4 linked regions of the Saccharomyces cerevisiae S288C genome follow. The gene in region 1 interacts genetically with each later gene. Each region holds a gene or a part of one and is shown in the gene's direction. Other genes may lie near its edges. The genes, in order: SSO2, FAR8, STR2 and FAR11.

Region 1 (5,067 bases):
TCATATTCTGCGCTTTTTTGGCCCTTCTTGAAAGTATTTATTCTTTTCGAATCGAATGGAATTTTCATCGTAGGAGACAAATTAGCATCTATACCATGAATAATCAAAAGATTTATCAGTTCGTCTACGTATTTCATATCATGCAATGAGATAGGCAATAAGTCACTTTTACTTTCGATGAGCCTCCGTTGCTGTTCTAGTACGTGAATGTGCAAATTCTGGAATTTCTGTAAAAGTACTGCAACAAACTCATTGTTATTTGAGCACTTCAACGCCTGATAAATGGAAGAGGATGATGATGAGCCTGAATCAAGAACATATTCGTTTATGGGAGTAATTACATTGTCATCCAGATCTTCGAAGAAAACATCTAGGGCTGTCTTTTTGGTGAGCTTCGGTCTTGTATTCAATATATCGTGTATGTTGATCTTTTGCTCTTTATCCTCATTCATTTTCCAACCTTTTGTTTTTCTTGATCTGATATGACAAGAAGAAACATGAGGCGGTGATGAGCCCTTATTGCTATATGCTGTTCGACGCGATGAGATGATTACATGTTTTTTATTAAATTTCTCAAGCAGACTGCGGGTAACCTTGATTTTTAATTATTCAATAGGAATTCTTTTTTTTTTTAGAAAATAAAATGTTCTGCGTAGTGTACTTCTATTTATAAATATAATAATATTATTGATTAATTAGGCATCGCATTTTCAAAAATTTTTAAGAATGCGGGACACCAATTTGAGATTGTTGTGTCAGTAACCATCCAATGTTTAATGGTTTTCACGGCCATATTTTTGTCTTTTTCATTGAAAATCTGGGATAGTACTGTTTTGGTGTGCTCGTTTTGTAAAATCTTGGTAATGTTTGAATCTAATTTTTTCTTGTAAAATTCCAACTCCTTCGAAGAGAGCTTCGAGCCACACACACAGAGGTCGTTGATCTTAGCCACTAATTCTTCTTTACTGCATAATATCGGCTGGAGCTGTCTATCGCCTTGGTCTTTTACGAGCACACCTTCACAGGCAGATTCTTGTTGAGCAGCAGTTACAGATGGCCTCCTCAAAACTGGTGGCGGCGTAGTAGCTGTTTTAGTGTTCCCATAAAGATCTAACACTTCTGTGGCAAGTCTGCCGCTAACACATCTTTTCGATTTCGTTCTTTGTTTAGATTTGGATCTAGGTCCGCTATTAGGGTCGATAGAAAACAAAACTGTCGGACAGTCGTTATAACCAGGCACTTCAGCTTCTAGACAATTCTGAAAACTTTTGGTTGGTTTAATAGCCATCGTACGTAATAGTATGTGCGGAAATAGATTGACGAAGAACCGACAGATGCGCGTCTACTGAAGCTCTTATGAGTAGCCTGTGTGAATAAAGAAGCCAGCTAAAAGTAAATATGTGGCATCTTTATGTCTTACGAGCCGGGTACCAAGCGGCAGCAAAGGGTCCCCCCTAAACGACGTGCTTATCACCCGGCCGTTGTTTACGAAATGGCCTTTTTTGACGTTTTTAGTTTCAATGGATGGATGAAAAAAGCAAGTAAAATGACAAATAAATGCTGTTGGCAGGTTAAATCGTTTAATATACCCATAAGAGAGCTGGAATAGTGTGGAATTGTAATACTTTACATTTGAAAACTGCCCATACACGCACAAATATTGCAGCAATGAGCAACGCTAATCCTTATGAGAATAACAATCCGTACGCTGAAAACTATGAAATGCAAGAGGACTTGAACAATGCTCCTACTGGTCACTCAGATGGTAGCGACGATTTCGTAGCTTTTATGAACAAGATCAACTCAATAAATGCTAACTTGTCCAGGTACGAAAACATTATCAACCAAATTGATGCGCAACACAAAGACCTACTTACTCAAGTGAGTGAGGAACAGGAGATGGAATTGAGACGTTCTTTGGACGATTACATCTCTCAGGCCACAGATTTGCAGTATCAATTGAAAGCGGATATCAAAGATGCCCAGAGAGACGGATTGCACGACTCTAATAAACAGGCACAAGCTGAAAATTGCAGACAGAAATTCTTAAAATTAATTCAAGACTACAGAATTATCGATTCTAACTACAAAGAAGAAAGCAAAGAGCAGGCGAAGAGACAGTACACAATTATCCAACCGGAAGCCACTGACGAAGAAGTGGAAGCCGCCATCAACGATGTCAATGGCCAGCAGATCTTTTCCCAAGCGTTGCTAAACGCCAATAGACGTGGTGAGGCCAAGACAGCATTGGCCGAAGTACAGGCTAGACATCAAGAGTTGTTGAAGTTGGAAAAAACAATGGCTGAACTTACCCAATTGTTCAATGACATGGAAGAGTTGGTCATCGAACAACAAGAAAATGTGGATGTCATTGACAAAAACGTCGAAGACGCTCAGCAAGATGTAGAGCAAGGTGTGGGTCACACCAACAAGGCCGTTAAGAGTGCCAGAAAAGCAAGAAAAAACAAAATAAGATGTTTGATCATCTGCTTTATTATCTTTGCTATTGTTGTTGTCGTTGTGGTTGTTCCATCCGTTGTGGAAACAAGAAAGTAATAGAGCACATGCGCCTCCCTCCCGCCAGCCCCCCAATTCCTATTATGTGTAATCAAACAATTTCTATTAAAACCGAAAACCTAAAAATTGTAACGTCTTTTCTCTTTCCTACTATACCCTCCTCATACCTGCCTTTTTAACAATTAGTATTATAATTTTTTTTTTTCACAAAAAGACAATACCGACTATCTAATAAATAATTTTAATACGTATGTAATTTCGTTAAGAACAAGAATTTTTAAGTAAAAAATCTTACTTTTAAGAAAAACTGTCGCCCTTAATATTAGTCCCAATTTTGTAACGAAAAATAAAATACAAATCGGGGTGGAAAAAGGGAAATTTTACAACATTATTATTCCAAAAACTAGTTTTCAAAAAGTAAATCGTGGGGGTATGAACAACAATTGTTGTAGTCGCAACTACGGTAATTGGTCCTAAAAAATTATTCTCCGGGAAAAAAAGAAGAAACAAAGAGATCCCGAAACATAAGTCCCGTGATTCTTTTTGCCCCCCGCTTTCTTTCGCCAAGAGAAGAGCAATTTATTGAAAGGCTTTTCTTGATGTTTTTGGGTTGTGAAAGCGTTAATAGCGCCAAGTTAGAATAGTAAATATCACAACTACAATATCTACACTTCTCACTTGCGCATTAACCTGCACACGTACTAGACTTTATCTGTCTTGATTGTTACTTCTAGACCAATCAACATTGAAGCGCTCGGCAAATGCTTGACAAGAAAAAAAACTAATTTTCCCTTCGCCTTTTATAGTGCCCATCGGATAGGATATTCCATCTTTGTCTTGCGCCCACTTCGTTGTCGTTACCCGCACGTTGTGTTTTTTGAGGGCTTGAGCAAATTCTTACAGTTAAGGTACAATAGTTGTCTCGAAGAGCAGTACATCAACGGCCTGACGACCTACAGTAGCACTTTCCTTTAAGTGTATATAAACTTTCCTTTTCGGTAAGGGATGCAGGAGAAAGGGCGAGTTTTGTTTATATGCGATCCTTTATGGTAACCTTTGCGGTTAATTCAGCATTATGGTTGCTGATGCACACTTAACGAGGGGAAGAAATATTATGTTACATGCATGAAACGCACTCGGTTTTCTCATGGTCTTTCTTTTTTCGGGATTTCTTTTAATAATATCTTTAAAGTATTACTGGTAGTCGGTCTTTCCCCACACAAAAAAAATTAAAAAAAAAAAAAAAAAAAAGAAACTTTCCGGCGCTCCTTCAGGAGTCTCGTAACTGATGCTTTTTCTCTTCCTAATATTAAGATAAAAAAAAAATTAAACACCGGTAGCAACTTCTCGAGCCATAGGGTCCTGCACACCCTGCCATGTTACCGCACGGACCATTAAGTTACGTGGATGCCGGACTCTCAAGCCATGAAAAGTTTATCTTTATTTAAGTAGAGTTTTTCCTTCTTCTCAAATTTCTGAGAATTTTTATCTTCGATCATTCCCTCTTTTTTTCTTTTTTTCTTTTTTTCTTTTTTTCTTTTTTTTTTCCCTTCTCTTACTTTCTTATTTTTTTTTTTCATTCCTCAGCGGATCCCTTCAATCGTTTATAACATTATTTTCCTTCTCTTTTCTTTCATTGTATCTTCTTGATTTCAACTATTGTTTGTGTGTATATGAACAGACGCCTCCTTCTCTTTCTTTCGTGTATTCTTGATTCAATTGCGACTTCATAGCACTATTCCTCCCCACTCACGTCTATAGTCCAGGACAATTAGCATGACACTGGTTAAACATGAGAGGAAAACAACCGAAAAGGAACAAAGACAACGCTTCTGTCAAGAGAAATTATAGATGCGTGGGATATCCTGATTGTAACATGAGTTTCAATAGGACCGAACATTTGGCTAGACATATCAGGAAACACACAGGGGAGAAACCATTCCAATGCAATATCTGCCTTAAATTCTTCAGTAGAATCGATAACTTAAGACAACATCAATCTTCTGTTCATTCGGACGTTGATTTGATGTCCTTACGTAGACTGCAGCAGTCCGCAAATAGCACTGCGAACGACCCTAACGCAACAAGAATGTTCCCGCAATTACGCCCATATGGAATTGTTGTCCAGCCCGCGCCTGTTCCATACAATCTGCCCATATCAACTCCTGCTAGCCCACAAGACACTATATCTCTTTACGCACCACCATACTTCCCTCATCCTATGCCATCTGCTCCCATACCATTGCCGCATCAGCCTCCTCCACTACCAATATACAGCTATATGCAACCACTCTTCCTGAACCACACTCCCATACAAAACCACAACATTGTAGAGCTCCCTCCAGATAGCAGTGACACTCCAGCATCGCCGTCTAAGGTGCAAAGTTTTGACCAGGCCAAGGACGCTTCACCAAACGCAAAAAAATAAGCTCTACCGCACCCACTCCTCCATTTCACAAGCCGCATCATTGCTGCTATTGTACCCTCTTGGCCATTCGCGTGCGCGTTGATTGCCGTTATTATGCAGATATTTTGATATCGCTTGCCGTT
Region 2 (5,861 bases), 300 kb from region 1:
GAGGAATGGGGTAAGAAATGTGAACAAGATATCACTGAAGCGCGCAAAGAGCAAGAAGAACTATTGAAACCTTACCATGACGATCTGGCAAATGCAGAAGCGGAACACAAAACTTTAGTGGAAGAGCGCGATGAAATTAACGCAGAAATCTCAAGATTGCAGGATGCTATAGTTGACCATAAAAGAAAGATCTCTGGTTACGGAAATGATCTTGACGCCCAGAAGAATAGAAATATCAGAGAGGATGACAAATTACTGGAACTAGGTCAAACTAAAGAAAGCTTGGAATCCCATTTGAATGATGACGTTATTATTCTTGCTAATAAGGCTAAAGAGCAGGCTGAGTTATCAACCAAGGAGGCCCGTCTGAAGCAATTGGAAGTGGATTCGTTGATTAACGAACGTAAGAGCGAGTTGAACGCGACCGAAATCGAGTTAAAGAAGGAAAAACTAAATTTGTTGGAAGCTATGAAAGATGTTGCTTCTGCACGTGGCGATGATAAGATTGACGAAGAGAAGGTTAAAAAATTGATTGGTATGACTTCTGAGGAGTATTTAACACAAAACAAATCCGTCGAGAAAAATGTTGAAGATTTACCAACCCAACTTGAAAAAATAGAGGAAGGTGATGAACTAAAGAAGGAAGAGATAGTGGGAGCCGAAACGAAAAATTCAGGTGGTGATGGGGTTCCGGTGAGTACTGCCGCAAAAGAAGCTACCGAAACTAGTTCTGCTGTTCAAACAAAGGAACCTGAAGAAAAAATTTCGATCGGAAATAAATCAAGTGGAAAAGAAGACGCTAATGATTGTAAATCAGCGGAGCATTCAAAAGAAATCTCGGTTTCACAGAAAGCAGGAAACAATAAATCATTGGGAGTTAGCCCTGATAGTTTGGAACATACATTTAGTGGCTTTTCACAGGGTTCTTCGATCGAAGACGATCAGGATGCAATTAGTAATCAAGAGAAAAAATAATTGCTAGTGAGCCTAGATAACGAAGAAATGGTGCGGCTAAGATATTGAACAGTTGAGTGGGATACTACAGAATTTTGATAATTAAGATAGTTCTCATCTGCGCTTTAATTATTCTTTTTATGTGTATAATATATGTTTATTGCCTTAATTTAAATTTAATATTTGTATTTTCTTTTTTTTGTTTAATTTGATTACTTTTGCTTATGAAATAGTATATATGGTTGTTTTACTTTTTTTTTTATTTATTTGATCTAAGTTTTATGTATGCAGATTAAAAGCAAGTTTTAATTAATTGGTATGTTGGTTTTGATTATGATTATGAGGAGTACCGCTATTGCTATTGTTTAAATTACTACTGTTGTGTTCCAGTTCATTCACGCCTGGATCAGTTTTGAAGTATACTTCATCCGGCAAAGTATCTGTTGAAATTATTGAATATTTGATGAGCCAATTTCTCATTGGTTGGTAGTCTAAAACAGAAAACGGAATGTTTAAATCGATAAGAATCTCTATCAAGTCGTTCATGGCTATTTTCGATTGAAGTTCTCGAACATTTTGCTGTTGGACCTGGTGGTTGATGAGGCTCGATCCGGTTTCAGGATGATTTCCGTTGACGTCCCCTTTTTTCTTCTTTTTCTTCTCTTTGAATTTGGCATCTGGTTCAACAAGTAAATCACGCATCAATCTAGATTGATAGTCATAGCATTCCTGGAAAAGTGGAGAATTATGATCAAAAAATTCGGTAAAATTATTTGGTGTTAGCTGGACATCGTGAACTTTACTCAAATGTCTTTGATACTTTCTAGAACCATGCTTCTCTCTACTGTTCTTATCTTTCCATATCATTTCTTGATTGCAAATTCGCTTGGTTCTACGGTCATAAAATTGGCAATATGTGTTGATAGTTAGAGGTGATTTAGCAAATAATAGTTTAGATAGATGGTTTCCCTTAATATCTCTTCTCTTGGGAATGGGAAGCTCCAAAGTTTTCATAATGTCTGATCTAAAATTTAGTGTTTCTGAAGACAGTAGCTGCATATTATTCTCTATGAAATCTACCACTTGTTGCTGTTGCCGTTGAACTGCATATTTAGAATCCTTTGTGCTATTCGATTCAATAGTTCCCAGAGGAAGCGACTCATCATGAGTAACGTTGACAGGAGATGACTTGGCAGATACGGTAGCAGAAGAAAAATCTGGCGAGAAGTTCTCTTTTTGCAAATAATCCGGTACCATATTCATATTAAGTATCCTTGGAGTTTCCATCTTGTTGGGCGCCAGATACATCTCCTCACGAGGAGTCCCACTACGGTTGGCAGGAAAATTAGGCAGTGTCGCTATATCAACCATGCCTCTATTGTCTTGAGGAGGGCCTTTAGTGGTAGCAAATTTCCCCATTTCTGGATTTAGGTCCTTCATAACTGCTTGTAGTTCTATCTCCTTGTTTTCGAATAGCTTCTCAGAAAGTAAAAAAAAGGATAATATTACAGTTTTTGATCTACAGAGTCCCTTTTTGTACCCCTCCACTCAAATCGTTCTGATACGTACGTCTCTAGGTGTCAGATGATGGAGTAACTTGCAGATGTTTTACATGCGTTTCTTTTGGTTTACGCGATAATAGTTCCTTATTAAATGTCAAGAAAGTGCTAGTTGCTTCAGTTGTTTTAAGATTGATCTCCACTCTCTGCGTCTTCACATGCGCGGGACAACTTTACAGGAAAACAAGGTTTAAGAGATAACCTATTCGGGTTTTACGTAGGATGATCTATTATAGTCTATTCAGTTTTTACTGCTGCACCATCCCCTAGGCTTCTTTGTTGGGATATGGTATAGTACTCTATTGGTCTTAACTTTGCGATCTTCCCCGTCGCGTAATCTTAGATAAAAGCCACCTAGAACGACTAAATGTGAGGAGCAAGCAACAACATTAATAAAGAAACCCAAAAGAAGTAAGTGCGTGTAGTTAGACCGGAAAACAATATGGCTATTAACCAGGCACATGTTCATCCGCATTACACGTTACCTGGTGTAATGCACTACTTGCAAACGGAGTTCACGAAGAATGAAAGAGATAGAATCACCTGGGAGCTAGAAAGGTCGGAAATGAAAGCAAGAATTGCAGAACTAGAGGGCGAAAATAGAGATTTGAAGCATCAATTGAATCAAATACAATCGAAAGCTGTTTCTCCTGAAGGTGAAAAGGAAGAAAAACATGTGCCTGATTCATTACTGCAGTCTAAGCTAGCTGTTCAAGAAAATGTGAAGGAAATAATTTATTTGTTGAAAGGCCCTAACACGGTCAATCAGTTAGAGTCATTAAATAGCAGAGAAGCGGGTTCTGAATTGCACGATTTAGAGAAACTGAACGTGAATACTCCCAAGGAAGAGGGCAGTGCGAAGACAAATGGGATGGATATTTTAAATAATGCCCTCTTGGACACCAAACCCAATCCAAAGCAAGGTCCTTCAGAGTCACCATCACCAACCAAAGTGAAATCTTTGTTTAGCACAGCCAACAAGCGTGAAAATAATGAAACAATATCCAAGATACACTCGGAATTGTCGAAAGTCGACATTATCAGCTCCTACGGGGACTGTATGGCACTTTATGATGCAGACACCAAATCGTTAGAAATACACCAAGTGGACGCAAACTTGAATTCCAAACTCTTAAAGAAAATATCTTTAGGGCAAGATAGCGACATTATGAAATTTTTCTGGGTTTCGACGTCCAAACTCCTTGTTATTGAAAAGAGTTTCCATTTGAAATTGTTCTCTATTTCTAGCGCATCTTTGATCTCAGATGTGGACCTATTACAAGACTCAGAACAGCCGTTTTCGTCTAGTGATATCATTAATATAGACTTCAAAAATAAATGGTTGTTGATAGCTAGTAAGAATAAATCTCAAATTAGAATCTGGGAATTGGACAATATAGAGGCTCCTGAGGATGTCCCAATTAACATAAAAGAAACATATGAAATAACACATGATAATGATGACGATGATAGTAATGATTCCACAAACATTCTGGATTGTATATTGGGTATAACAGAAAAATCCTTAATATTACTGTCTTCAAATCCATACCAGCTTACCATATATGATTTCGAGGGTAAGCTTCTACAAAAAATTGATTTGAAGATTGATACAATATTATCGGGTAAGCCAGAAGAAGAAGGTTACCATTTATTTTTGGATAGAAAAACTTCTAAGCTACTGATTCAGCTAAGCAATGAGAGATTATTGGTTTATTCTTTTGATAAGAAAAAAGTTGTACTGAAGGAACAATTGACTCCATCGTCAACACTACCAATACAACTCGATTTGAACGACAGCATAATCACCGTATCATATAGTAATGGAGACTTTGAGTTTAGGAATTTAGAAAACCTAAAACCATCCATCGACGAATTTGTCGTAGCAGACATCAACTTCTCGGAAAGAAAAGAGCCTGTGGTATTTTCTTCAAATCTGATTGTAGATTCTACGCCGGTGTTAATCACCGTGAATAAAAATAACGAAGTCCTTTTGCACAAGATTAAAATATAACTGATGTAGGCAGAAAAAAAAATAATATATGAATCTGTCTAATAGATACTTATGTGTACGTATATAGGTATTTTTTTCTATCCTCTATTCATGGTATTTCCGCTTCCCTTAGCATGACTTTCCTTGAACTCGTCCCACTCACGAGCTTTATAGGTTTCTCTATCTTGCCAGTCCATGTTTTCTTCATCTGGTGCTTGCTCTGGTTCTTCGCCACCTTGAAGAACGCGACCTTCTTCAAACTCTTTATCTAAAAATTCCTCCACCGACATTGTTGGTCCATATTGACCATATCCTCGCACTTTTTGTTGCAGTTGTTGCCTTTTGTCGACAAGCGTGAAGTTCCTCAAGACTTGACCTTTTTTGTCTATCAATGGCTTATTTATATTCTCTAATTTATCGGTAAAACCAGTGGAATCATCATCATTCGATTCTTTTCGTATCTGAGTACCTGATGATTTGACTTCATGTACGGAATTTTTGAGGAAATTAGAGAGCATTTCACATTCAAATAAATTCTGTTCAATGTTGTTAATCGTATCAAGACTAAAGTGATGTAACCTCATCAAATATAGTTCTCTTAGTAATTCATCATGGTCGTGGTCCTCGTCGTTGTTTTTTAATTCCAACTCCAAGCAGTGCAGTTTTGTGCTAATTTCTTTATTGCGCTGGAATAGCTCAATCTTTTCTTTTCTCTTCAACTGTGCTCCAGATAAATCTTTGTTATTTTTTGGTTGCGCGTACAATTCGCTAAGCTGAGGGTTATAACGATCCTTGAAGTTACCTAGTTTTTCACCAACCAAAGGATCTAGAAGCTTATAATCCTGCAATAGTGTCAGGAAATTAATGAAAGATTCAACGCTTTTTTTCAGGTAAATCAATTTCATAGACTGCCTTTGAGCAACATCCGAATCATTCGACTGTCGTCTTGATATCAATAATCCTAAATAGTAATCAACTGCTAGAAATTTGATGGAAGCAGTAGACACATCATCAATGGTCTCATTAGTACTGAACAATGCCAACCTGTCAAAAATTGCTGTTTTTAAGTTTAATAATTTCTTGATCGTGGAAAGTAATAATCCCTGGTACTCTGGTGAATCTTGCCTCAAAGATGTGTGTTCCAATTTTGTTGAGTATAAGCTAATAATATCGTTGAATTGTTCTGTTACTGACGCCATGTTTATGATCTCTCCTCGTTATTACTTTCTTCCTCTTCTTTCGCCATTGATTGTAATTTGTCCTTAGGAGCTTTCTTTTTTTTATCAGAAGTACATAAAATAAAAGGCACGTACTAAAAATCTATGTGCTTTTTTGGAACATTTCATAGGGAAAGT
Region 3 (6,017 bases), on another chromosome or scaffold:
TCGGGCTTCATGAATAGAAAGGCCCTCAGTAGAGCCTGATGCTAACAATCCCCCCATAAAGCACACGAGGTGGTCCATCTTAGGAGAAAGTTGTCCATGTAGACCTTGTTCTCTTTCCCCAATGTACCACAGAGAAGAGGGTTTGGATTGTGCTAATAAATGCTTTTTCATACCTTCCATGGATTTTCTGTACAGATCATAATAAAGTGTTTCGTGCGTCAATAAATATTGTTTTAGTAAATACTCATAAAAAGAATCACCTCTTGATCCGAACCGGATAGTCGAAGCACCAAACTTCCCAGTATCTGGAAATGTATAAATTGGAACCAATCCATCGTAGGTATTTAGAAGATCGTTATTTTTGTATAATGGCTCGTAAACACGCTCCACCAGCTCCCAATAAGTACGATTTCCTGTCAAATACGCCAGATATTTGAATTCCATTTGTAGCGTAGTGAATTCTGCGGTAGAAGATGCCCCCCCATCTGCATGGTTCTTAACCGCTTGGCCACTATGAAGGTTTATACTTGAGTATGGAATTCCGGTCTGAGTGGATAAGAACGCCAAAGCAAGCCTATCCCCCAAATCTATTGCTTTGTTCAAGTAGACAGTCTTATTACCTACTTCTAAAACATCAGATAGATGATATGCGGATAATAAACCACCTAGCATTCTAATAGTAGTTTCAAAAACATTCACTTCGGCATCAATATCAAAATCCAAAACATCGTTTATCCAATGCTCCGATCTCTGAATTTCTGCCTCGAACTCACTTTTGTATAGTGTGGAGGAGTTATACATTAACATCAAGGTATCCACTGAATCTACGATAATCCAGCCTAACGGCTGGTTGCCACGAGGCATATTATGGGAAGTGTGCTCAATAGGTCCATACACATCGTATCCCCAGCCATGCTTGGAATAGTCTCTCCACGATTCCAAGAACATGCTTTCAATCCGATCTCTCATTTCTCCGGCCCCCGGTGACTTTCTCTCAAAGTGTTCGTACCATGGCACATAGTATATAGCTGCTATGATAGCAACAATGGTTGCAATTGAAATACCGACAGAGTTCTTCATAGAATCCTTTTTCAATGTTTAACCTTTTCCTCTTTTACTACCTTTTTCTGTCGTCTTTCGTTTCTTGGCAAAGCACATTTCTTTCATTCTTTCGTTTGGCGAAACTGAAAATTCCAAATAATTGCTCTTCCACAGAAAATGCGTTACAACCAAAGTGAATTTGTAAAAGTTTAACCCCACATTTTGCTACAGTCTTATTTAAAAATAGCAGTATTCATATTAAAATATCTTGCGGTTTAAGAACTCAATTAACTTCAATGATTGCCAGTGTTGTTCAGGTAAAACCCTTCAAACCTAGTAAATATGACTTATCTTCATGCGTGGATGTAAAAAACAAAAATCATGATAGCGCCTCTGCACTTCACAATATCTCGGTCTAAAAATTAGTCATATATTTTGGATATATATATATATATATACCCATATATATAACGATAGTAGAATGACGCTCATGTGCCGATTCGGGACCTACATAAACAAGAGAGAGAAGAGGAACAGAAGAAAAAATGATATCTAGAACCATTGGTGAATCTATTCCGCCCAACACAAAACATGCTGTTTCCGTGTGTTTGCCCACATGGGAAGCTACAGTAGGCTATGAAGAGGGTGAAAGCAGTATAATTAACTCGCTTACTACCGGATATCCAAGATTTTTCATACACAAGTCAATAAAGAAATTATGTGAAATTTTATCCGCTAAGTACTCCATGGAAGATGAAGCTTGTCTTTGCTTCCCCTCTTACAAGGTTGCCAATAGGTGCAGAGAGTTTATCAAAGTGAAAACGGGTCTTTCTACCAAAGTACGCATCTTACAACTATGTACACCTAAACCTATGAACCAAGAGGAAAAGCTCTGGAGAAGGGAATGTAAAATCACGGTGGTGTTTGTAGACCAGGAAATATTCCCCGTGATGAAGCAGTATTGGCAACATTCTGGTGAGATTGTATCTAGCAGAATGGCGGAGTATATTTTACATGAATTACAAGTCAAGGATAATCTTAAGAAGATGGAAACAGTGGATAACGGTAAAAAATTTATGACCGAAGATGAAAACAGAGTGAACGAAGAATATATAGAAACGAGATTTGGGAGAAATTTAAATTTTCTTGCTGCTGATAAAGCCAAATATCTAATACGAAAGAGGATTGCCACAAAAGTTGTTGAAAAAATTGACTCTGAAGGTCTATCGGACCTATTCTCTTTTGAACACTATAACGAGAGCAACGGTCCATTCAATGTTGGCAGTGGAGAGGCTCTGGATGATGATCAGTTGAATTCGGACATACCTGCCGAAACAATTACTTCTATGGGAGAAAGTGGCTCAAACAGTACTTTTGAAAACACAGCTACCGATGACTTGAAGTTTCATGTCAACCCTAATACGGATGTTTACTTATTTCCAAGTGGAATGGCGTCCATTTTCACTGCCCACAGGCTGCTTTTAAACTTCGATGCCAAGCGCTTATCAAGGTCTTCTAGTAGACAAGATAAGTTGATTGGATATGGACCTCCGTTCAAGAAGACCGTCATGTTTGGATTCCCATATACAGATACTCTGAGCATTCTTCGGAAGTTCAATCACACACATTTCTTGGGACAGGGAGATTCAACGTCAATGAACGCTCTGAAAAATATTTTACATTCTGGTGAGCAAATACTGGCGGTATTTATAGAAGCTCCATCGAACCCACTGTTGAAAATGGGAGATTTACAAGAACTGAAAAGGCTATCAGACTTGTATTCATTTTACATAGTGGTCGATGAAACTGTGGGTGGCTTTGTCAATATAGATGTATTACCGTATGCCGATATTGTTTGTAGTTCGCTAACGAAAATCTTCAGCGGCGACTCGAACGTTATTGCAGGATCCTTAGTACTAAATCCTAGAGGAAAGATTTATGAGTTTGCTAGAAAATTTATGAAGACTGAAGACGGATATGAAGATTGCCTATGGTGCGAAGATGCGTTATGCCTGGAAAGAAATTCGAGAGACTTCGTGGAACGTACAATCAAGGTGAATACAAACACTGATATATTGTTAAAAAGGGTGTTATTGCCTCAGGTGGGAAAATTGTTCAAGAAAATATATTACCCCAGTTTAACATCAGAGGATACCAAGCGGAATTATGACAGCGTTATGTCTACAAAAGATGGTGGGTATGGAGGTTTATTTTCACTAACTTTTTTCAATATTGAAGAGGCAAAGAAGTTTTTCAATAATCTGGAATTGTGCAAAGGACCTTCTCTCGGTACGAATTTCACTTTGGCGTGTCCATATGCTATTATTGCCCACTACCAGGAATTAGACGAGGTAGCTCAATATGGTGTCGAAACAAATCTTGTAAGAGTGAGCGTCGGTTTGGAAAATAGCGACGTTTTATGCAATGTTTTTCAGCGTGCCATTGAGAAAGCTTTAGGGGAATAAAGCCAAAATGTTTATATGTATTAGAAAACTCTGTAGAAAATTTTAATGCTGATTGTCCGGACACGACAAACAGCGAAATAAATACTAGCAGTTAGTACATCATCGCAAAAATGATGAAGAATGTATAAGTAAATGAAAAAGGAAAAGAAAGCAGAAAAATCGAGCTAGTAAAACTTGACCCTCCTCGTCAAAGATAACATGAATGAAGATCTATTCTACGATAGATTACATCAGCGGTGCCCTGGAAAATACTTGCTAGAAGAGTTGGAAACAAGCAAATCTAACGATGTCCTGCATGCATCGAGATTTGTTTGTGAGATGGAACTTGTGCAAAAGACGAATGCATATTATTGCAAAACCATAGTCAAGATGCTCTTAGACCACGAATGGATTTTCGCGAAGGCATTCACAATTGTCAACGATGGCGAAGACGAGATAGAGATATATGATTATCTCTATGAGAAGTACATAAAACTATTAAGCACAGGCAAGCCAGACCCGATGATGAAAGACGTCGTGAGGTACAGGTTTGACGAGGACGTAAAGATCAAAATTGAGGAAACACCGAATTTGATCAGTGCGGCCAGTACTACAGGTTTCAGGACATGGGAAGCTGCCTTATACATGGGTGATTTCCTTATTCATAAGCCCTTACAAGAGTTGGCACCGGTACAAGGACAAGACGATGGCAAGAAAAAATTAAATGTTCTTGAGGTCGGCGCTGGCACAGGCATAGTGAGTCTCGTCATTTTACAAAAGTATCACGAGTTCGTAAATAAGATGTACGTCACGGATGGTGATTCGAATCTCGTTGAGACGCAGCTGAAAAGAAATTTTGAATTGAACAATGAAGTGCGTGAGAACGAACCAGACATCAAGTTGCAAAGATTATGGTGGGGCAGCGATAGAGTTCCTGAGGATATAGATTTAGTAGTGGGGGCAGATGTTACGTATGACCCAACTATCCTTCCTGATCTATGCGAGTGTCTGGCCGAATGTCTTGCTTTAGACCGATGCAAACTGTGTCTCCTATCCGCGACAATTAGAAGCGAATCCACTGTCCAACTGTTTTCTCAAGAGTGCAATAAACTCGGGCTAAAATGTACCATAGTCACCAGCACAGAGTACGACGCAAACAACGAGATCCGCGCGATGAAAGCCCTGCAATTCAAACCTTTGATTGCACCCATACGGATCTACAAGATCACGAAACAATAAGATACATGTGCAAGTACAAGTTCAAAAATAAAACATAACTAAAAAAAAAAAGAAAAAAAATATAGTCATCTTCTGACACTCGAGTCTCATTCAGCTAATCAAAACAACTAGCAATCCACTCGAGTTCTTATAAATGACCCGGAAATTGATCTCTCCACATTACGCTTATCACGAATAAGACCGAGTGTTCAAATAAATAGCTCGATCTTCGTACTGTCTAATGCGGTGGATTAGTACTTTAGGACAAAGTTACTTTTTTTCGGAAGGAAACTTCAAAAATAGAATTAACAAATAAGAAGGAAAAGCGAAAAACAAATCTCATTGCCTGTGCTTTCTTTTATACTTTTTTTTTTCGCTCGGAACCTCTTGCTTATACACGGTTTTTTTCCACGGAAACCTCGGTTACCCTTCAATTACTGGAACGTTAGGGCACAATCTAACAAATATATATACTGGCTTACAAGATGTAACAAACTACGAATAGTGGTACGAAGCTTATCACATGCACCATTATCTGTAACTGGGTTGCCGCCAACAGCAGACTCATGGGCTGGTTGAAAAAATCTTGGAAAACAGAGATAAACAGCTCGGCAGATAACATTTCCTGCGACCTTAATGCTGCGTTAGGTGTAATTGTCGCAATTTGCGGCCGGCCATAGTTGTTCGTGCTACAATATATGGAAGAAGCAACTGTTTTTGAATCAACGGTAGTAACGACCTTATATCATCATACACGAAAATACGCACAGACGGGGGTGAACCACTCCAGGGGCAGAGTAGAGTGTACAAGGAAAATTGTGATCTCGCCGCACGGTGCTGCATCGCGGAAATTCTCCGTAGGGCAACGGATAAGGTAACTGCGTATGCGGCATCGACAATAGGTAACTACGCGAGCAACTTCTATTAAGAGAAATAATTTTTGGGAAATGGCCTGTTTCGGATGGAACCGTTCGCATTTGGACGAGGGGCGCCTGCATTATGCATACTAACCGCGGCCGCTCGAATAAATCTGGACAATTTTGTTCCGTGTTGCTGGGCACTTTTCCGTCTGTCTTTCTTTTTCCCGCTTGACCCTGCATATATTAGAAACGAAAACAAAGAAACAAGGACTTCTTGGATTTCCATAGAGTTTTTTTTCTTCGTTAAACATTGCCTCTCTCAACACACGTTTTTCTCGAAGACTCTTGCACCAAAAAGAAACTTTAGGGCGAAGAAGCTAAAAGACATTGGCGATACTAGAATAGATAGGGCAGATAAAGATTTTTTATTAGTGCCGGAGCCAAGTATGTTTGT
Region 4 (7,317 bases), on another chromosome or scaffold:
GTATATATCTGACATAAAAAGATTTCTGAAGTTATCGTCAGATAAGAAGATGGAGTCAAAATGTAAACAATAACTTTAACCTATATAAATTTTCTTACATTTGCTTTTAAATACTCGAAGATTTGCATTGAACGATCGTTGCCGTTGACTCATTTGAAACAGAAAAACAATACACGCAGGAAAGGAACGGCAGTTGGTCTGAGAAACAAAACCAACTTGCATTTTAGGCTGTTCCGATAGTTTATCAGAGTAAGGGAAAAAATAGCGTGCAAAAGCTATCGAAGTGTGAGCTAGAGTAGAACCTCAAAATATGACTTCGAAAAAAGTGATATTAGTTGCATTGAGTGGATGCTCCTCCAGTGGTAAGACGACAATTGCGAAACTTACAGCAAGTTTATTCACGAAGGCTACATTAATTCATGAAGATGACTTTTACAAACATGATAATGAAGTGCCAGTAGATGCTAAATATAACATTCAAAATTGGGATTCGCCAGAAGCTCTTGATTTTAAACTTTTCGGTAAAGAATTAGATGTGATCAAACAAACTGGTAAAATAGCCACCAAACTTATACACAATAACAACGTAGATGATCCCTTTACAAAGTTCCACATTGATAGACAAGTTTGGGACGAGTTAAAGGCTAAGTATGACTCTATTAATGACGACAAATATGAAGTTGTAATTGTAGATGGGTTTATGATTTTCAATAATACTGGAATATCAAAAAAATTTGATTTGAAGATATTAGTGCGTGCTCCCTATGAAGTACTAAAAAAAAGGAGGGCTTCCAGAAAAGGATACCAGACTTTGGATTCTTTCTGGGTGGATCCGCCGTATTATTTCGACGAATTTGTGTATGAATCTTATCGTGCAAATCATGCGCAGTTATTTGTTAATGGAGACGTAGAAGGTTTACTAGACCCAAGGAAGTCAAAGAATATAAAAGAGTTCATAAATGATGATGACACTCCAATTGCGAAACCTTTAAGCTGGGTGTGCCAAGAGATTCTAAAGCTTTGTAAGGATTAGGAAAGCGCCACAAAATCGATGAGAAGTATAAAAAAAAAAAAGTAAAAACAATAAAAATAAGAATGTGTACCTCGATAGATAACTTAAATAAGACAATTTCAGAACCACAATATTGATAACACCATCCCGATTTTTGAAATTATTTTTTTGGTGTAAATGAGAGAGGAGGGGAGTGAATTAGAAATGGAAAAAGGCTTCCTTAAATGGAAACCAGTCAACTTGATGAAGAAAATATTGTCTTTACCAATGAAAAAAACTAAAAACGATATAGGTTTGAGATTAGATATATCATATATTTTAGTTAATCTAATAGTCTGCTCATACCCGGTAAACACGTATCCAAAACTGCTTTATAGGAATAGCTTGGATGACTTAATATTGTTTCTAACAGTGTACCATGGCAAGGGAAATTTTAGAATTTTTAATTTTAGAGGTGAGAAAGAAGACAGCGATTATAAAGATAATGATCTTATTGGTATCGCTGCCAAGTTTGAGAGCAAAGATTTTGAAATTCAAGAATTACGTTCGACGCTGATTAATGATGGAAAGATACCAATATCACCCATTGATCTCGAAACAAGGACCTTGGTCGAAGAAGAAACCAATAATGTAATTTGTGAAAGGATCGGTTGGCTAGATCATTTTCCACCGCCATTTGAACTGCTGGAAGAGATTGTAGATGGTATAGAAAATTACCTGTCCGTTTCGAAGAATAGAGTGGCTGTTTTACATTGTCGAATGGGGAAAGGCCGATCTGGTATGATAACAGTAGCATACCTCATGAAATACTTGCAGTGTCCTCTTGGAGAAGCAAGATTGATATTCATGCAGGCTAGATTCAAGTATGGTATGACGAATGGCGTCACCATACCCTCTCAATTAAGATACTTAAGGTACCATGAGTTTTTTATTACCCATGAAAAAGCAGCCCAAGAAGGAATTTCTAATGAGGCGGTAAAATTCAAATTTAAATTCAGGCTTGCTAAAATGACGTTCCTCCGCCCATCAAGCTTAATCACTTCCGAGTCTGCTATTGTAACTACTAAGATTCAACACTACAACGATGATAGAAATGCCCTCCTAACCCGAAAAGTAGTATATTCAGATATCATGGCGCATGAATGCGGTGGTAATATGACCTTCATTTTTGGTAGGGACTACTTAACACTGGAAAATGATTGTCGTATAGAATTTACCCTGGGGACCAGCAAGTCCAAAGCCGCCAGTAGCATAATATCTTGGACTTCATGCGCCAGCTGTTGGCTGAATATATACCTTGAGACTTTGATGCACATAATTAAAGACGATTCTTCGCCAGATTACTTTCAAGTAGAGAGGTTAAAGAGAGACGAAATGCTTGGGACAACCATAAGCTGGCAAGAGCTGGACGGTTTTGGGGAGCTCAGCACTCACGGCTTGAAATTATTTCAGGCACTGAAATTGGAATGGGAAATTATATAGGTTTATGCATTTCGTCAAATCCATTCATTCGTTAAACTTAGTTAAAAGTGTTATATTTATTGTGAATTGGTTTGTTTTGGTAGGCTTTTTTCTATATTATGTATTCTTTTCCTTTTCTTCAATATTCTTGTATGGTACTTTAATTTACTGGCAGGTATTTTTTGGAGCGGTCAATTATATGAATCAAAACGCCATTCTAGAAACAGGAAGAAATATATGAGAACCAAGGAGTAGGTTGAAAGGCATTGTAGAGAAATTTTATTAGTATTTATAGCCGAAGAAGAAGGTTAAGTGACAAATTTTCATTTATAAGCCTCGCTAAAATGAATGCTAGTGGAAGATCTCATTCCAAAGGCCCCATTATAAGGTCTGTGTCTTTAGAAGATCTTAAGAGAAACTCTAGTTTCAAAGGCAATCTAAAGTACAAAGATGAAGTCACTTCACATAAAGAACCACAGGTCGGAACATTGAGCAACGAAGAACTGCTAAAAGATTTGGACAACATGTTGCGCGGTAAACTGAACATGGGAAGAAACAGTTTTCATGCCGATAAAAGAAATAAATCAGATGGAAATATCAGTGCCTTAACCTTCAAGGCAAGATCAGGTCTTGAGGGAGATATTCGTACCATAGATATACAGCAAGATAGTAGTGATGAAAATGATAATTTTAAGTTCAGTGATGATGGCGTTAATAAGGATAGAAATAATGAGAAAGATAATAATACTGATAACGCCGTTGAATTTCAAGACGATGCTGAAGAAGCTGAAGAGGAGAATGAGGATGAATCATTTGCTAATGTAGATGAACTGGATGGCTTTGATTTGAATAAGGTTTCTGATGGCAAGCATGTTCCTATCAATGAAAAGGGCGAAGTTGATTATAATATGCCGGTAGATAAAGAATTTCAGAAATCACTTGACCAGTGCGCAGCTTCACTTGAGGAAAGATCAAGTGCACCTTATGCTTTACAAAGAGCAGTGGACTGGGAATTGAAGATGTTTTATTCTTTGGAAGATGAACTGTCGGAATGGTTTTGCAGCTCTGATTATATGCATTTTGGACAGACACAGACTCTGTTTAAACAGAAAATTACGCAACCACAATTATTCTTTGATGATGAAAACTATGCTGCGAGCGTAGTTGAATGTTTAATTGAAGACATCCCCAATTCTTTAGCATCTAATTTACTCGCATTATCATATATTTCTATGGGATGCTTTGCGTTTACGAATAGCAAAAGTGAGCATACAAAGATTATACGACGCAACAATTTAATGCTTGTTCCTCATATTCAAGAAATTGTTCATGCCTTCAAGAAGATTGCAATAAGTTGTAGGGATGACAACAGAAATTTAAAGAAACAAACAATTTTGCTATTTCATTCGTCAACAATCCTATACTTCATATGCAGTATTTGTATAGAAGGTAGAGGAGAAAATCCGGAAGCAGTAAATGTTGTTATCGACGCTTTTGAGAAAACAGATTTGTTGGAATTTTTAACAAAGTATATTGAAAATTGGAGGTGGAATAGCAGATTAGCTATGCGCATAAGAAATATGATTTCTTTGCTCTTCAAGCTTATTGTATTACAATTTGGTGACAGTTCTGTCTACAAACAGACCAAATCATCTATTTATAATCTCCATGGCTTAACATATCCATCAAAGCATCCAGAAAAGCTTTCTATCTCCCCATTACATTATCAAGCATTCAGGGAGGACATTACTTCCCGTTTTCCTGATTACAATATGCCCAGTTCTGGCTTACCTAAAGATGTTGACAAATCAGAATCTCTTTCCCAGTTTCTGGAAATTCCTCGTCCAAAATCAAAGAATCCTCTAAATATGGCGCTCATTGTTCCTGAAAAACATATTGCTACACCTGCTCCTTCACCGCCAAGCTCTCCACAATTAATGCATTTAGGTGAAGGTCCTAGACCTCGTAAATCTTTCCAAACAAACATGGCATATCCGTGTTTGTATCCATCTGATAATGAAGGATCTGAAGATGACACTCTGGAAGATAGGATAGATTTAAATATAGAGAGAAAACCTGATAACGATATAGTTATTCCATTCAGTACCGAAGAGGCAGCGAGAATATTAAGCGAGAGTTTAGAAATTAAGCTGAGTACAAAACAACTTTGGTACGAAAGGGACTTATTCATGATAACTGAACGTGGTTGGAAACAGCAATTAGAAAATGAGCCATATGATTATGCCGCGCTTAATCATGATGCAAACTCTTCAAAAGAGGAAAAAAGTGCGATTTGCATTATGCAGCGAATTGACAAATATTATAAGAGCTGCCTTTCGAGCTTTAACTCTCTTGTTTTTGTCTTACTGCAAACAATGGAATCAAGCTTGACAAATAACTTTCATAGGAAAAGTGAAGTCTCCGATAAAAATCTTCTAAATATGCTGACACCCCAATTGGAGATCGTGAGAGCTAAGGAATTGTCCCTAAAGTCAGCAGCGGGCATATTACATGCGTTATTGAAGTGGTTTAAGTTAAGCCATATTTTGAAATTTGAACACTTGGCGGTAGTTATTCACGATTCGCGATACATCAACACATGCGCATCTATTTTAAGCAAATATTCTGAGGTTTATCCAGAGAGGGTTTTCAATAAATATGTACAAACCCCGAATTCATTTTGGAAGGAGTGTTCTCTCTCTAACGAGTCTTATCGTGAATCCTATTCAGTAGATGACTCAGGAGAGGTCGACACGGAGATTATGCCTTCGTTTGCATATCTGTTAAGAATCTTGAGAAAAGTCACAGGGAATAAAACACAAAGGTTAAAGGAGCTGCCCCTCTCCATCGGCATTCTATTTAAACGCTATTATCGGCTCTTCAACCTTGACATGTATCATCCAATATTGAAAATAACAAGAGAACTCACACCATTCAAAAACAAGAGGTGGAAATCCGAGCATATGGAATTGATATCGGGGGTTTACCTTTATGAAAAGCTGGAGTTAACTGATAATTGGGTAACAGGGAAGGATATATCAGGAGAGTTGAGCGATGCTTGTGGTCAAGAAATTGCACTCCGGGCCTTGCTTCAATTTTACAATTTTCAACACTATGAAATATCTATGGAGGACCTTGGATATGGACACCGTAATAGTTCCAGCCAAGATCTGTTAAACAAGGAATCCGAGTATTTGAATATTTAAATCTCTACTTACGGATACCGAGGCTCGGGGCGCGATGTTATTGTCATTAACAATCTCCTATCCCTCCCTATGTTTATATAGTTTTCAATGGAGGAGCATGAAAACCCCTTAAATAGTGTTTATTTGATCGCGCAATGGTGATGATTGGATCTTCATATCACAAGTGGGATACTAGGACAACCGTTGTTGGATTTCTATTATCATAATATATACGGGTAACGATTTTTGATGCGTCGCGTTTGTAAACAAAACTAAACAAAACAAACAAATATACTCATTTGATGGCTTCATCTGCATATAAGAAATAGAAGAGCCAGAATACTAAGCATAACCATAATATATATTACAGTCTATTTCAGTTGTAGCTGAAAAATCAATATGGAACTAGAGCCCACTCTTTTTGGTATAATAGAGGCATTGGCTCCTCAATTATTGTCGCAGAGTCATTTGCAGACATTTGTATCTGATGTAGTCAATTTACTGCGATCATCCACCAAATCGGCAACTCAATTAGGCCCTTTAATTGATTTTTACAAATTACAATCACTAGATTCGCCTGAAACAACAATTATGTGGCATAAAATTGAGAAATTTCTCGATGCTTTATTTGGAATCCAGAACACCGATGATATGGTAAAGTACCTCTCTGTCTTTCAATCTTTGCTTCCATCAAATTACAGAGCAAAAATTGTCCAAAAATCATCTGGGCTCAATATGGAGAACCTTGCTAACCATGAACATTTACTTAGCCCAGTGCGGGCTCCAAGTATATATACAGAAGCTTCATTTGAAAACATGGACCGATTTTCTGAAAGAAGGTCCATGGTATCTTCGCCTAATCGTTACGTTCCCTCTTCAACCTACAGTTCTGTTACTTTGAGACAGTTGTCAAATCCTTATTATGTGAACACTATACCCGAGGAAGATATCCTAAAATACGTATCATATACATTATTAGCTACGACATCGGCACTATTTCCGTTTGATCATGAGCAAATACAAATTCCGTCTAAGATACCCAATTTTGAGAGTGGACTTTTACATTTAATATTTGAAGCGGGTTTATTATATCAAAGTTTGGGTTATAAAGTGGAGAAGTTTAGGATGTTGAATATATCTCCAATGAAAAAAGCATTGATTATAGAAATTTCAGAAGAATTACAAAACTACACAGCATTTGTGAACAATCTGGTCTCTTCAGGGACAGTAGTGTCATTGAAATCGTTATATCGTGAAATATATGAAAATATAATAAGGCTTCGAATATACTGTAGGTTTACAGAACACCTTGAAGAATTGAGCGGAGATACATTCTTGATTGAATTAAATATTTTCAAATCCCACGGAGATCTTACTATAAGAAAAATAGCAACGAATTTGTTTAATTCAATGATTTCTCTTTATTATGAGTATTTAATGAATTGGTTGACTAAAGGTCTACTCCGAGCTACTTATGGAGAATTCTTCATTGCTGAAAACACTGATACAAATGGTACAGACGATGATTTTATTTACCACATTCCTATAGAGTTCAACCAAGAAAGAGTTCCGGCCTTCATACCGAAAGAGTTGGCATATAAAATATTCATGATCGGCAAATCGTATATCTTCCTAGAAAAGTACTGTAAAGAGGTTCAA

The links.
Region 2: mutations in SSO2 (region 1) and FAR8 together harm fitness more than expected from each alone (negative genetic interaction), as found in Saccharomyces cerevisiae (2 studies listed by BioGRID).
Region 3: mutations in SSO2 (region 1) and STR2 together harm fitness more than expected from each alone (negative genetic interaction), as found in Saccharomyces cerevisiae (2 studies listed by BioGRID).
Region 4: mutations in SSO2 (region 1) and FAR11 together harm fitness more than expected from each alone (negative genetic interaction), as found in Saccharomyces cerevisiae (2 studies listed by BioGRID).

What each region holds. Positions count from the first base shown.
Region 1 is NC_001145.3:624,410-629,476, reverse strand, and holds SSO2 (syntaxin), read left to right. Parts: upstream 1-1,668; coding exon 1,669-2,556; downstream 2,557-5,067. Other genes in the region: RTP1 (Rtp1p), read right to left, coding at 1-452; ADD37 (Add37p), read right to left, coding at 692-1,288; MIN3 (Min3p), read right to left, coding at 3,580-3,666; RGM1 (Rgm1p), read left to right, coding at 4,310-4,945. UniProt on the Saccharomyces cerevisiae protein: Required for vesicle fusion with the plasma membrane.
Region 2 is NC_001145.3:327,326-333,186, reverse strand, and holds FAR8 (Far8p), read left to right. Parts: upstream 1-2,955; coding exon 2,956-4,527; downstream 4,528-5,861. Other genes in the region: EIS1 (Eis1p), read left to right, coding at 1-975; RSF1 (Rsf1p), read right to left, coding at 1,264-2,394; TAP42 (Tap42p), read right to left, coding at 4,605-5,705. UniProt on the Saccharomyces cerevisiae protein: Participates in the control of the reentry into the cell cycle following pheromone treatment.
Region 3 is NC_001142.9:662,707-668,723, reverse strand, and holds STR2 (cystathionine gamma-synthase), read left to right. Parts: upstream 1-1,586; coding exon 1,587-3,506; downstream 3,507-6,017. Other genes in the region: MNS1 (mannosyl-oligosaccharide 1,2-alpha-mannosidase), read right to left, coding at 1-1,080; EFM3 (protein-lysine N-methyltransferase), read left to right, coding at 3,705-4,724; YJR128W (uncharacterized protein), read right to left, coding at 5,444-5,803; RSF2 (Rsf2p), read left to right, coding at 5,665-6,017. UniProt on the Saccharomyces cerevisiae protein: Catalyzes the formation of L-cystathionine from O-succinyl-L-homoserine (OSHS) and L-cysteine, via a gamma-replacement reaction. In the absence of thiol, catalyzes gamma-elimination to form 2-oxobutanoate, succinate and ammonia.
Region 4 is NC_001146.8:381,170-388,486, forward strand, and holds FAR11 (Far11p), read left to right. Parts: upstream 1-2,817; coding exon 2,818-5,679; downstream 5,680-7,317. Other genes in the region: DGR1 (Dgr1p), read right to left, coding at 76-222; NRK1 (ribosylnicotinamide kinase), read left to right, coding at 311-1,033; TEP1 (putative phosphatidylinositol-3,4,5-trisphosphate 3-phosphatase), read left to right, coding at 1,190-2,494; SPC98 (Spc98p), read left to right, coding at 6,058-7,317. UniProt on the Saccharomyces cerevisiae protein: Participates in the control of the reentry into the cell cycle following pheromone treatment.